Linked DNA regions of Cricetulus griseus. The protein of the gene in region 2 interacts with the protein of the main gene of each other region in a pairwise test. Links are inferred from orthologs where the notes say so. Each region holds a gene or a part of one and is shown on either strand. Other genes may lie near its edges. The genes, in order: Kat7, Dvl3 and Tnfaip8l1.

What was found.
Region 1: the proteins of Dvl3 (region 2) and Kat7 interact in a two-hybrid assay, tested with the Homo sapiens proteins (2 studies listed by BioGRID and IntAct). The two-hybrid records come from large-scale screens. The link is inferred for Cricetulus griseus from reciprocal best matches to the Homo sapiens genes DVL3 and KAT7.
Region 3: the proteins of Dvl3 (region 2) and Tnfaip8l1 interact in binary tests that used the Homo sapiens proteins (3 or more experiments, as listed by UniProt). The two-hybrid records come from large-scale screens. The link is inferred for Cricetulus griseus from reciprocal best matches to the Homo sapiens genes DVL3 and TNFAIP8L1.

The regions. Positions count from the first base shown.
Region 1 is NC_048600.1:108,454,616-108,458,109, reverse strand, and holds part of Kat7 (histone acetyltransferase KAT7), read left to right. Parts: coding exon 1-42; intron 43-3,109; coding exon 3,110-3,256; intron 3,257-3,494. UniProt on the Homo sapiens protein: Catalytic subunit of histone acetyltransferase HBO1 complexes, which specifically mediate acetylation of histone H3 at 'Lys-14' (H3K14ac), thereby regulating various processes, such as gene transcription, protein ubiquitination, immune regulation, stem cell pluripotent and self-renewal maintenance and embryonic development.
Region 2 is NC_048597.1:68,113,491-68,117,139, reverse strand, and holds part of Dvl3 (segment polarity protein dishevelled homolog DVL-3), read left to right. Parts: intron 1-1,697; coding exon 1,698-1,767; intron 1,768-2,202; coding exon 2,203-2,324; intron 2,325-2,443; coding exon 2,444-2,553; intron 2,554-2,705; coding exon 2,706-2,841; intron 2,842-3,038; coding exon 3,039-3,132; intron 3,133-3,316; coding exon 3,317-3,386; intron 3,387-3,649. UniProt on the Homo sapiens protein: Involved in the signal transduction pathway mediated by multiple Wnt genes.
Region 3 is NC_048598.1:97,377,161-97,380,809, forward strand, and holds part of Tnfaip8l1 (tumor necrosis factor alpha-induced protein 8-like protein 1), read right to left. Parts: intron 2,348-3,649; 5' UTR 2,343-2,347; coding exon 1,782-2,342; 3' UTR 1-1,781. UniProt on the Homo sapiens protein: Acts as a negative regulator of mTOR activity.

The DNA.
Region 1 (3,494 bases), on a different chromosome or scaffold from region 2:
AGTATATGAGACAGGGCTATGGCAAAATGCTCATTGATTTCAGTAAGTGATGCTGCTGAGCATCAGCTCTTCAAGGCTGGTACCCTGGGGATGTTGATCACTTTTGATGTGTGCTCTTGATAGTACCAACATGTAGTAGAAGGAAGTACCTTGACAACTGTTAGTGAATGAACACAGAACCTGGAGTTGCTACTAAATTAATAGGAGATGCAGAGAATAATAAAGAAAGCTCTGCAAGATTATCCCATTTGAGACTGAAACAGCACAGATGCGTGCTTAAGGCTTAATGTCCTTTGATGCTTGGGATTTCACTTATATAAGCACTTGTGGAGGTAATCCATGTACCTGATTTAGGCTTTGGGTATTATACTCACTCTTCATTAATCATGAGTATCGGTTTGAATTTGTCTACCAACTAATATGTACCTCCCAGATTCATGGGGAAAGGGGTCTTACTACATTTGTTTGTTGGTTTAGGTCATACATGTGGAGGTCAGAGGAGAGTTTTCTTCCTCCTCCATGTGTGTCCTGGGTTTGAACTAAGATCATCAGCTTGGTGACAAGTACCCTAAACTGTTCATTTAAAATGTCTGTAAGCATTGTACTGAAATGTTGGTCTTTAGCACAGGAGCACAGGGAGACTGATAACTGCAGATGTTAGACAAGCTCTCTACAGACGTGAATCACAGTACCATGGGTTGTGAGTGCAGTTACTCTGAATCAACAGTGTGTTGTAATTTTTTTTGTTTGTTTTTGTTTTTTTCGAGACAGGGTTTCTCTGTGGCTTTGGAGGTTGTCCTGGAACTAGCTCTTGTAGATCAGGCTGGCCTCGAACTCACAGAGATCTGCCTGCCTCTGCCTCCTGAGTGCTGGGATTAAAGGCGTGTGGCACCAACACCCGGCGTAGCTTTTTTTTTTTTTTTAAGTATCACAGTGTTTATTGATAGATACAAGAATATAAAGTCAGGGCATGAACATGACTTAATAAATTAAGTAGACTTAATCTCAATACTATAAAAAGAGGGACCAATTCAAATTTTGACCATTTGTTTCACACCCACAAAAACCTCTTCAAGGGCATTGAAGATCTCTCAGAACTGATCGGTTTTGTGCAAGTAAACCATGTTTCTTTTAAAAAGACTTGTGCACTTGCCCAGGCTCAAGGACATTAAAATCTAGCACATAAAGCCCATTACTAGTGGTGAAAATACAGGAAATATACTAGTTGTAAGATGTTTTTAAACAGAAAAGGACATTTGACATAGAAAATTTGATGGCTCTGGCCAGAGGCTCTCAAGAAGCAAACTTTACTCCTGTCAGCAGTGGTTCAACATTCATTCTCAAGTCAGCATTCCCGGTACCTATTGAGCATAGCCACTGTGACAAACAAGAATCAGCTGTGTGCTACCAGCATCTGTGTCATGGAATTTTAGTCAAAGGAAGAATGGAGGTTTAGCTGGAGAGATGGCTCAGTGGCTAAGAGCATGGAGTGCTCTTAAAGAGAACCCAGGTTCAGTTTCCAGCACCCACATGGCAGCTCATAACCAGCTGTAACTCCAGTCCCAGGGGTGTCAGATGCCTTCTTCTGACCTCCACACATGGAGGTCACATATAGATGTGGGCGGACACCCACATTTTTTTTTGTTGTTATGAGTATATGTGATACACATATGACAACTAGAAGTTGATAGTGTCTTCCTCCATTTTTGATTTATTTATTGACAGAGCATCTCACTAAACTGAGAACTCACTCACTTTGACTAGTCTAGCTAGCCTGCATGTCCTGGAGATCCCATCTATGCCTCTAGAAAACTGAGCTTACTGGCAGCCACCATTCTTGACCTACTTCTGTGAGAGTTTTGGGGATCCACACTCTAGTTTTTATGATTACATGGAAAGTACTTTATCTGTTGAGCCATTTCCTTAGGCCCTATAAAAATTTTAAATTAGTATTTATTTGTTTGAAGCAAGGTTTCACTGTATAACAGCTCTGGCTGTCCTGGAACCCACTCTGTAGAAGGCTGGCCTCGAACTCAACAAGATCTGCCTGCCTCTGCCTCTCAGGTCCTGGGATTAAAGGCATGCGGCACTACCACCTGGCCATATTTATTTTTATTTTATGTACATTGATGTTTTGTCTGTGTATATGCCTTTGTGAAGGCTTCGGGTGTCCTGAAAGTGGAGTTAGATTGTTGTGAGCTGCCATGTGGGTTCTGGGAATTGAATCTGAATTGTCTGGAAGAGCAGCCAGTGCTCTTAACTGCAAAGCCATTTCTCCAGCCCCAAGTGAAAACAATTTAAACTAGACATGGTGGATGGAACATACAATGCTAACACTCCTGTCTCTAGAGGATTGCCTCACATTTATAGCCAGCCTGCTTTAACCTGAAAGAAAGAAGCAAGGGAGGGAGGATTGTTGTATTTTGTAATTTGGATCTGCAAAACAGAGATGGAAGGACTTCGGTCTCTGTTCTTAGCAAATACCCACACAATTGCTGTTAAAGCTCCTTGTGAAGCCTTCCAGGGTTGTTCCTAAGTGCCTGTTATAAGGTGCTTAGACACACAATAAGTGCACATTCCACCACCCTTGTTTATATAAAGCCAGTATGTCTTCAGCAGCCACACAGAACACACTCTGTTGAATGGCTGGCTCTGTGGTACTGCAAAGCAGATGTCCTTAAGTCTTCTGTGTTTGCACACTGTTTTTTGCTGTTAGAATGAGATTTAGTGTTGCTTAAAAAAGTCTGACTGGCTTCCCAACCAGATGGAAGCAGAGACAGTGGGGAAGATTTCACTGCAGGTTCAACACCAGCCCGGTCTGTATATAGTGCATTATAGGCCAGCTAGCACTACATATCAAAACCTTGTCTCAAAAAGCCCCCTCACCCAAGGGCTTGTGAGATAGCTCAGTGGGTAAAGTCACTTGCTGCCAAGCCTAAGGACCCGAGTTTGATTTTCGGTACCCACACAGTAGAAGGAAAGAACTGATTTCTACAAGTTGTTCTTTGATTTCTACACCAGCATGCACACAAAATAAGTAAACATAATTTTTAAGGCCTTCTCCACAAATTAAAAGAATAAAAACCAAATTTGTTTTTTTTCTTGGCAGGTTATTTACTTTCCAAAGTGGAAGAGAAAGTTGGCTCTCCAGAGCGCCCCCTGTCGGACCTTGGGCTCATAAGCTACCGAAGCTACTGGAAGGAAGTGCTGCTCCGGTACCTGCACAACTTCCAGGGCAAGGAGATTTCCATCAAAGGTAGGTTGCACTTGATGACAGTGGCCCTCATTCTGTTTAATCTGACTGTGATTAGAGGGCATTGCAGAGACCCTCGGTGCAGGGCTGAAGATCCTGGAACATTGGGTCCTGGGAATAGTCATAAAGTGTTTTTTGCCATCTGGAGTTGTTAACACTCAATTCTTCTAAAAACCAAGAGGAGGACCTGGAGACCTGGCTCAGCATTTGAGAGTACTGGCTGCTCTTCTGGAGGAATCCG
Region 2 (3,649 bases):
TTACTTGGGAGATCCAGTCAAGGCCTTGCCTTGGTGAAGCCTGATGATCTGGGCTCTAGCCCCAGGACACATGGTGGAAGGAAAAATCCAACTTCCACAAGTTGTCCTCTGACCTCCATACACCTGTGTGTGCGCGCACACACACACACCACACACACACGTAATAAAAATCTTAAAGGGGGGCTTACATTTAATGAGAGAGTGTGGATCTTACTAAAACTAGAGATAATCTTACTAAAACTAGAATATAATTTTTGTTATATTCTAAGGATCTTGTTTAACAGGATAAGGCAAAGGTTTGGATAAGCTAAAAGATATCTCTAAGCTGGGAGAACTACTAAGGACAGTTGGTATCTAACTCCTGGCCCTATCACATTCCCAAAGCCAAACTGCATGTCATGACCACTTTCTGTGGTCCCTCATGCCCCAAATTATTTTCCCCCACCCCTCACAGACCCATTACATCTATCATCAAATGGGAAAAAAAATGTGACAAGATCGAAAAGAGAATAGAAGTCAGAAATAGCCTGGGGTTCAATTGTAGCCATGAATGTCAGTTTCTTAATTCTTGAAATGAAAATTATATTGTCTACCTAATTATATATTTTTACATATGCATACACACTTCTTTTTGAGGCAGGGTCTCTCTGTGTATCCCTGGCTGTCCTGGAACTTACTCTGTAGACCAGGCTGGCCTTGAACTCAGAGATCTTCCTGCTCTGCCTTTCAAGCGCTGGGATTAAAGGTGTGTGCCACAACCATCCAGCTTTTTTGGGAGCGAGGTAAAATTATATGTTCTATAGTAATAGACGACATAATAGATAAAAATGCAGAGTCACATAGTTTGGGATTCAAACACCAGCTTTCTACTTGTTTGTGGAGTGTTTCTTCATTGGAGGGGGTGGGTGTTGAGGGTCCTCATGTGTCCCAAGCTGGCCTCAAACTCACTCTGAAGCTAAGGATGACCTTAAACTGATCCTCCTGCCTCCGCCTCTCTAGTTCTGGATTACAGGCACGCACAGCCATACCCAGTCGAATGGCATTGTGAATGCTACGCAAGCATTCTGCTGTCTGAGCTACATCTTCGGCCTCTTTTCTTCCTTATTGTGACAGAATCTCATGTTACCCAGGCTCACCTCATAATCTGCCTGCCTCCGCCTCCTAAGTGTTGACTGGGATTATAGATATGTACCACATAGATGCTTATGAAGGCCTTCTCTCCTCTTTCCTACTTCCTTAAACTCCTTGCCCACGGCTGTCAGAACAAAGTCAGGATTCCTAGCTGAGAAGTGAAGAACAGTAAGAGTTGCGGTGCCTTTTCCCAGTCAAAGGTCAGAGGGATGCTGGGAACAGCACAAGTGCTCTGGAGGTTCTGAGGTGTGGTGTGGGGCCGTTATAGTTTCCAGTCTCCTGATGGCCAAGTCGGTGCTCTAGCAAGTCAGTTGGCCCAGATATGGCCCTGCGAGAGGGGTGGCCCAGAGAGCAGTGTGTGTTCCCGACTTGTGACTCCTCCCCGAAGCTCCTTCTTCTCTGTCCTACTTCTTGGAGGTGCTAAGGATATGTCCCTAGCCCCTCCTCACAGCTGAACAGTCAGTCTTGTGTTGATGGCTTGATCTCACACTTAGGACTACTCAGGTTATGGAGATCCTGCATTTCTACTTCAGAAAGTTCTCACTGACATCCCCCTTTCCCTGCAGAGTGGTGAAGGAAGAGATCTCAGACGACAATGCCAAGCTGCCCTGCTTCAATGGTCGGGTGGTGTCCTGGGTAAGGAGCCATCAGCCTCCAGCTGTATTCCTGTGCTGGCTAGAGGGAGGGACAGCTTAGTTAAGGTTGTAGCTAGTGATTTTATGCCTCTGTATCTGAATCTGCCTTTAGTTTTCTAATGATTTCCTAGAGTTTGCAGTCTTTAATGATATGTGAGAGAATAGTGGGAGGAAGAGAGGGGAGAAACAGGAGCACAGGATAGAAATTCAGAGGTCTTCTATGTCCATCCAGACACCTACTGCCAGTGGGCATCCTCTGTGCTGTGCCCGGACTCTGCTGCCCATGCCTGCCAGCCCGTCTCCCTCATGCACCTGGCCAACTGCCCTTGCATGGGCCAGTCTTCTCAGCCTCACTCTCCAGGCTTTCACGTCCTGCTGCTGAAAGCAACATCTTGCTTTTCCTTGGCACCCCTGTGATCACTCATTTTCTTGGCAGCTGGTATCTGCTGAGGGTTCCCACCCAGAGCCAGCCCCATTCTGTGCCGACAACCCATCAGAGCTGCCACCTTCAATGGAGCGCACAGGAGGCATTGGGGACTCTCGACCCCCATCCTTTCAGTAAGTGTGACTTAAAGGTGGAATGGCCTGGGGAAGGGGGACCTCAGCTCAACCCAGAGCTGGGGAAGGGAGCCCCCACAGCCTGTTCTCATCTCCACCAATTCTTCTCTACCCTTTAGCCCTCATGCTAGTGGAGGCAGCCAAGAAAACCTGGACAATGACACGGAGACTGACTCCTTGGTGTCTGCCCAACGAGAGCGTCCCCGTCGGAGGGATGGCCCAGAGCACGGTGTGTATTTTCCACCTACAACCCCCTCCTGCAGCTTGCAGCCAGCTCCCTGCCTCTTTACCCTATTTCCTTAGTTACGGATATGCCTGGCCCCTGATCAGCCCCTGGCCTGCCCGCCTCATACCCTTTCTCCCCTACTTTGGGCCTTGCAGCAGCCCGGCTCAATGGAACTGCGAAGGGGGAGCGGAGGCGAGAGCCAGGTGGCTATGACAGTTCATCTACCCTTATGAGCAGTGAGCTGGAGACTACCAGCTTCTTTGACTCAGATGAGGACGACTCCACCAGCAGGTGGGGCTTGACTTCCATAGGTCCTGGGGTGGGAGTGAAAGGGACAAGTGACCCATGAGGAAGCCTGATTCTGCTGATGCTTCACCTCTGGGGGGGAGGGACGGGACGTGGGCATTGTGTTGGGACCAGGGCTGTGCAGTGCCTCTTTCGGGGCCAGGATGGGCCAGCCTGGTGGGGAACGACTTTGGGCCCCACAGGTTCAGCAGCTCCACAGAACAGAGCAGTGCCTCGCGCCTAATGAGGAGACACAAGCGGCGGCGGCGGAAGCAGAAGGTCTCTCGGATTGAGCGGGTATGGACTCTCGAGCTGAGCAGGGCAGATAATGAGTCCTTTCTGGGCAGGACCAGAGCTCTTCCTCAGAGCCCTCTGTTTGGTTTAGTGTTTGAAATCTTAGTGGGTGAGGGTAGTGGGTTGAGCAAGAACCAGATGGGCACGCCCACCCCTGCCTGCTGCTCACAGCTACTGTCTCTTCCAGTCTTCGTCCTTCAGCAGCATCACAGACTCCACTATGTCTCTCAATATCATCACAGTTACTCTCAACATGGGTGAGTCTGCTGAACACATTGAAGAGCCTCTGCTGGGAAGGCAGAAGGGGTTTCTGGGAAGCACAACATACATTTTCTGGGGTCCAGGGTGGGATCTCAGTGGCAGAGTATAAGGCCCAGGGTCCTGTATCCAATACAGGAAGAAAAATATGTGTTTCTTGCTCTCCTGTTGCTTTTTTATAAATACTGACATAATCATTTCGGTATTTCATTGTCAGGGCTATAACAGAGAAACACAGAGAACTGTGTGACCTGGGAGGTTT
Region 3 (3,649 bases), on a different chromosome or scaffold from region 2:
TGTAACCAGCCCCACAACAGCTGTAAACATTTTTCTATCCCAGGCCTGGAAGCATAGGCCTGTGTTCCCAAGCATTCAGGGTGCTGAGGCAAGAGGATTGTGAGATCCAGGTCACCCTGAGAATCTAGCCCTAAAAGGGAAATGAGGCTGGCTTGATGGCAGAGCCCCTGGTGAAACGCAAAATAAAGTCCCTCGTGCTCTCTGGCTTTCCTTTTCATCTCACCCTTATGAACACAGCCCCACAAAACGAAGACTAGTCTCCCATTTGGTCAGCATGAAGGTTTCATCTGGGGACAGCAGCATGTATGCTGGGGTCCCGGTTTCAAGATCCAGCCAAGGGTCTGAAGGGAGACAAATTCCCCTGTGGAGCTGGAATGGCAAGAATGGCTTCAAGCAGCTGACAGAAGTGACTGCAACAGGACAGTGTGGAGCTCAGGCTGGGACTCTAGCCAGCCCTCGGGACGCTGAGGCAGGAGAATATGAATTCCAGGCCAACCTGGGCTACAGGGTAAGGTACTGCTTTAAAACACATAAAACAGTCTGTAGCTGTTGGTGGAATCTTCTTTGTAAGTGCTGGCCTTTGTCTGAAACACTAATGAAGCCTCTGGCTCCCACCAGGCCCCACAGGCTACGGATTATAAACTTTGCCCTAAATACACGCAGTCCTCCCCGACACCCCGGATAACCTTCCCACCTGCAGCATTGCACAACCGCTGCGCTATCCACCATCTGCAGATGCAGGGTCTTAACTGGTCACAGGGATCTTCCCCAACATGTGCGTGCTACAGCTGGCCACGCCCCCCACTAGGCAATTCTAGGCGGGGCTCTACCTCTGACCACGCCCCCAGTCCTTCACTGGGAAATTCTAGAGAACTAATGCACAACTCAGTTGTGCACAAAGATAGCTAAAGCCTGCCCACCTTTCCAAGGATGAAAGTTCTGTCTCATAGTGACCATAAGGATAAGCCAAGTATGACGTCATGCTCCCGCATGCGCAGTCAGTGTTGGTTACAAGCCCTGGCTGCAATACAAAGAGAAAAGATGGGTTTGATTCCCAAATAGAGTGTTATAATTTAACACAGACACGTGTCTCCAGTATCTCTGCCCTGTTAAAGCTGGGGACAGCCTCTGAGATTCCCCAGGCTCCTCCCTCCCAGTGAAGACTCCAGCAGATCACTGGCTCCTTGCTGCGTGGTCACGTGGGCGGGCCGCGTGGAGGTCAAAGGCCAACTTGCCAAAACTGGTTCTGTGCTTCCACAGTGCGGGTTTTGGGAATCAAACTCCATCATCAGGCTTGGCAGCGAGCGCCCCACACACCGAGCCACCTCCCCGCCAGGCAGTTTCTTCCTTTTCTCAGATGCAGTCCCAGATGGGGGGGTCTCCGAATCGGATCCCAACACCACAGGGCAGGCTGGGACCGCTTCAGTCCTAGTCCGGTGTCAGGGCTTGAACTCCATTTCCTGAAGCAAGTCACCTTGGGAGGCCCTGAGAGTTAGGAAAGGAAATAGGCATTTGGCAGGGGCCAGAGGTCAGGGAGTACAACTCTTTTTCTCCCAGTTCTCCTCGATCTTGTCTGAAAAAAAGACAAGGCCCAACAGCGAGGTGGTGGAGCATACCCATCACCCCGGCACTCAGGAGGCAACTGCAGGAGCAGCATCGCTAGTTCAAGGTCAGCCTCGCTGCAAAGACAGCCTGGGCTACGTGACAGCGTCTGGGAATTAGTAAGAGGAGCGGAAGTTGGGACGAGTGGTGGTGTTCTCAGGGACAGTCCCCAGACCAGGTCAGATGCCGCCCTCGTCCAGCATCCTCCCGAGGCCGTCGCAGATGCGGTGCAGGTGTCTCCGGTAGGGTTCTGCTGGGCTGTACAGCGCGGCCAGGAAGTCGCCGTTGGCAAAGTGGCCGAAGACGTGGTTGATGCGGCCATGGGACTTGGCAGTGAGGTGCGTGCCTGTGGCCTGATGCAGCAGATCCCTGCACTCCAGCAGCCCCGCGGCCAGCACTCGCCGGTCGAAGGTGAAGTCCACCTGGTGGAAGCTGAGGGCTGTCATGGCCAGACTGCGCATCCGGCCCTGGAACCGTCGCAACTGGGCCAGCTCATCGCTATCCAGCTGACCGGCCCGCAGCAGCACCGACAGCTTCACCGCCACCTTCACCAGGTTCTTCACCACCCTCTGCGCCTCCTTCCGGCTGCGGGTGAACTCCTTGGTGGCTTGGTACAGTTCATCCAGGATCTCGCTGCTGGTGTCGTCCACAAATACGGCCACCATGGCCTTGGAGGCCATCTTACTGAGGACTTTCTTCTGGGCCTGCAGGGCCAGGCTCTTCGTGCTGAAGGTGTCCATGGGCCCTGCGGGATGACAGGTCAAAGGAATGCATGTAGAATGATAAAGTCTGGGCAGGGTCGGGCACCATCCCTACTCTCCGATAGCCAGCTGGCTGTTTCTGGCTGGGAGTTGAGGCTTTTGATGCAAGTGCAGTCAAGTGGTCCCCATGGAGCAGCCACAATACTTAGATCAAGCAGTTCTAGAATTTTCCCCCAAGAGACAGTGCTCAAAACCACTGAGAGTTCTCATGCCCCTTCCCTAATAAACTCTACAAACCTCCTCCCTCTGAGCCACACAGGGCTGCACGGCTGCAACTGCCTCCCCCACCACAGAGGGAAGTCAGGGCCTGACCCTTCTTCTGCTGTGTTCTCTGGGACCTCTGACCCCTCTAGGAGTGAGCAAACCCGGAAAAGCCAAGGAATACACAGAGGCCTGTTGAGACCTGACCCTGGTCAGCCATGCACCACCCACCCGGCCAGCTTATCCCCGAATCATCTACAAAGCCCGCCTTTGTATGAGCCCAGACCCCGGGCAGCCCCCACCCCCGTTCTCGCCATCCTCTTCTTGGCCTTAGCGGTCAGGGACACATGTCTCGCTCTGCAGCTTTCCTGCCCCCAGTGCTCACCCCCCACACCTCCTCATTCCCCCACCCGGCTGTCCACCAGCCAGGGCCTAGACATAGCTATTGACACAGTATGCCTGCCACGTGAGCCCATTTCATCACTTCGGCCAACGCCATTCTGCAAAGACCACAGCTGTCCCCAGTGGGGACAGGTAGGAATAAAGGCACAGTGGTGGAATCTATCCTCTCAAAGTCCACTGTACCTGGGGGCCACACAGCAGAAGAGGACGATCAGCCTCCGATGGTCCCACACCTGAGTGCTCCTGCCTCCTCCCTAGTGTCTGAGGACACCATACACCAGACATTGCACACCTGCCACCCCAGCACTTGGAGGTGGAGGCAGGAGGATCAGAAGCTCAAGGTCAGCCTGAGCTATATGGGGAGCTGGGGGGCAGCCTAAGCTACATGACCCTCTCCAAAAAACAGAGAAGAAAGAAGATTATCTCACAGGCAGGGGACCAGAGAGACCTCTACACCATCCGGGGGCTGGTTCCCAATTAACACTGAACAAAGGGGGGGGGCTCTCAGAGGAACAAAGTCTGGAGTCCCTGTTTGGCTTGGGGGTGTGTGACTCCAGAGGGAGTGCTGATCCTCTGGACCTTGCTTACCCATGGACAAAGCCAAATTTGGACTCTGTGGCTCAGGAGTGAAGCTGAGAGTGTGGATGGACTTCCGGAGACTGGTGGGGGCACAGCTGTGGCTA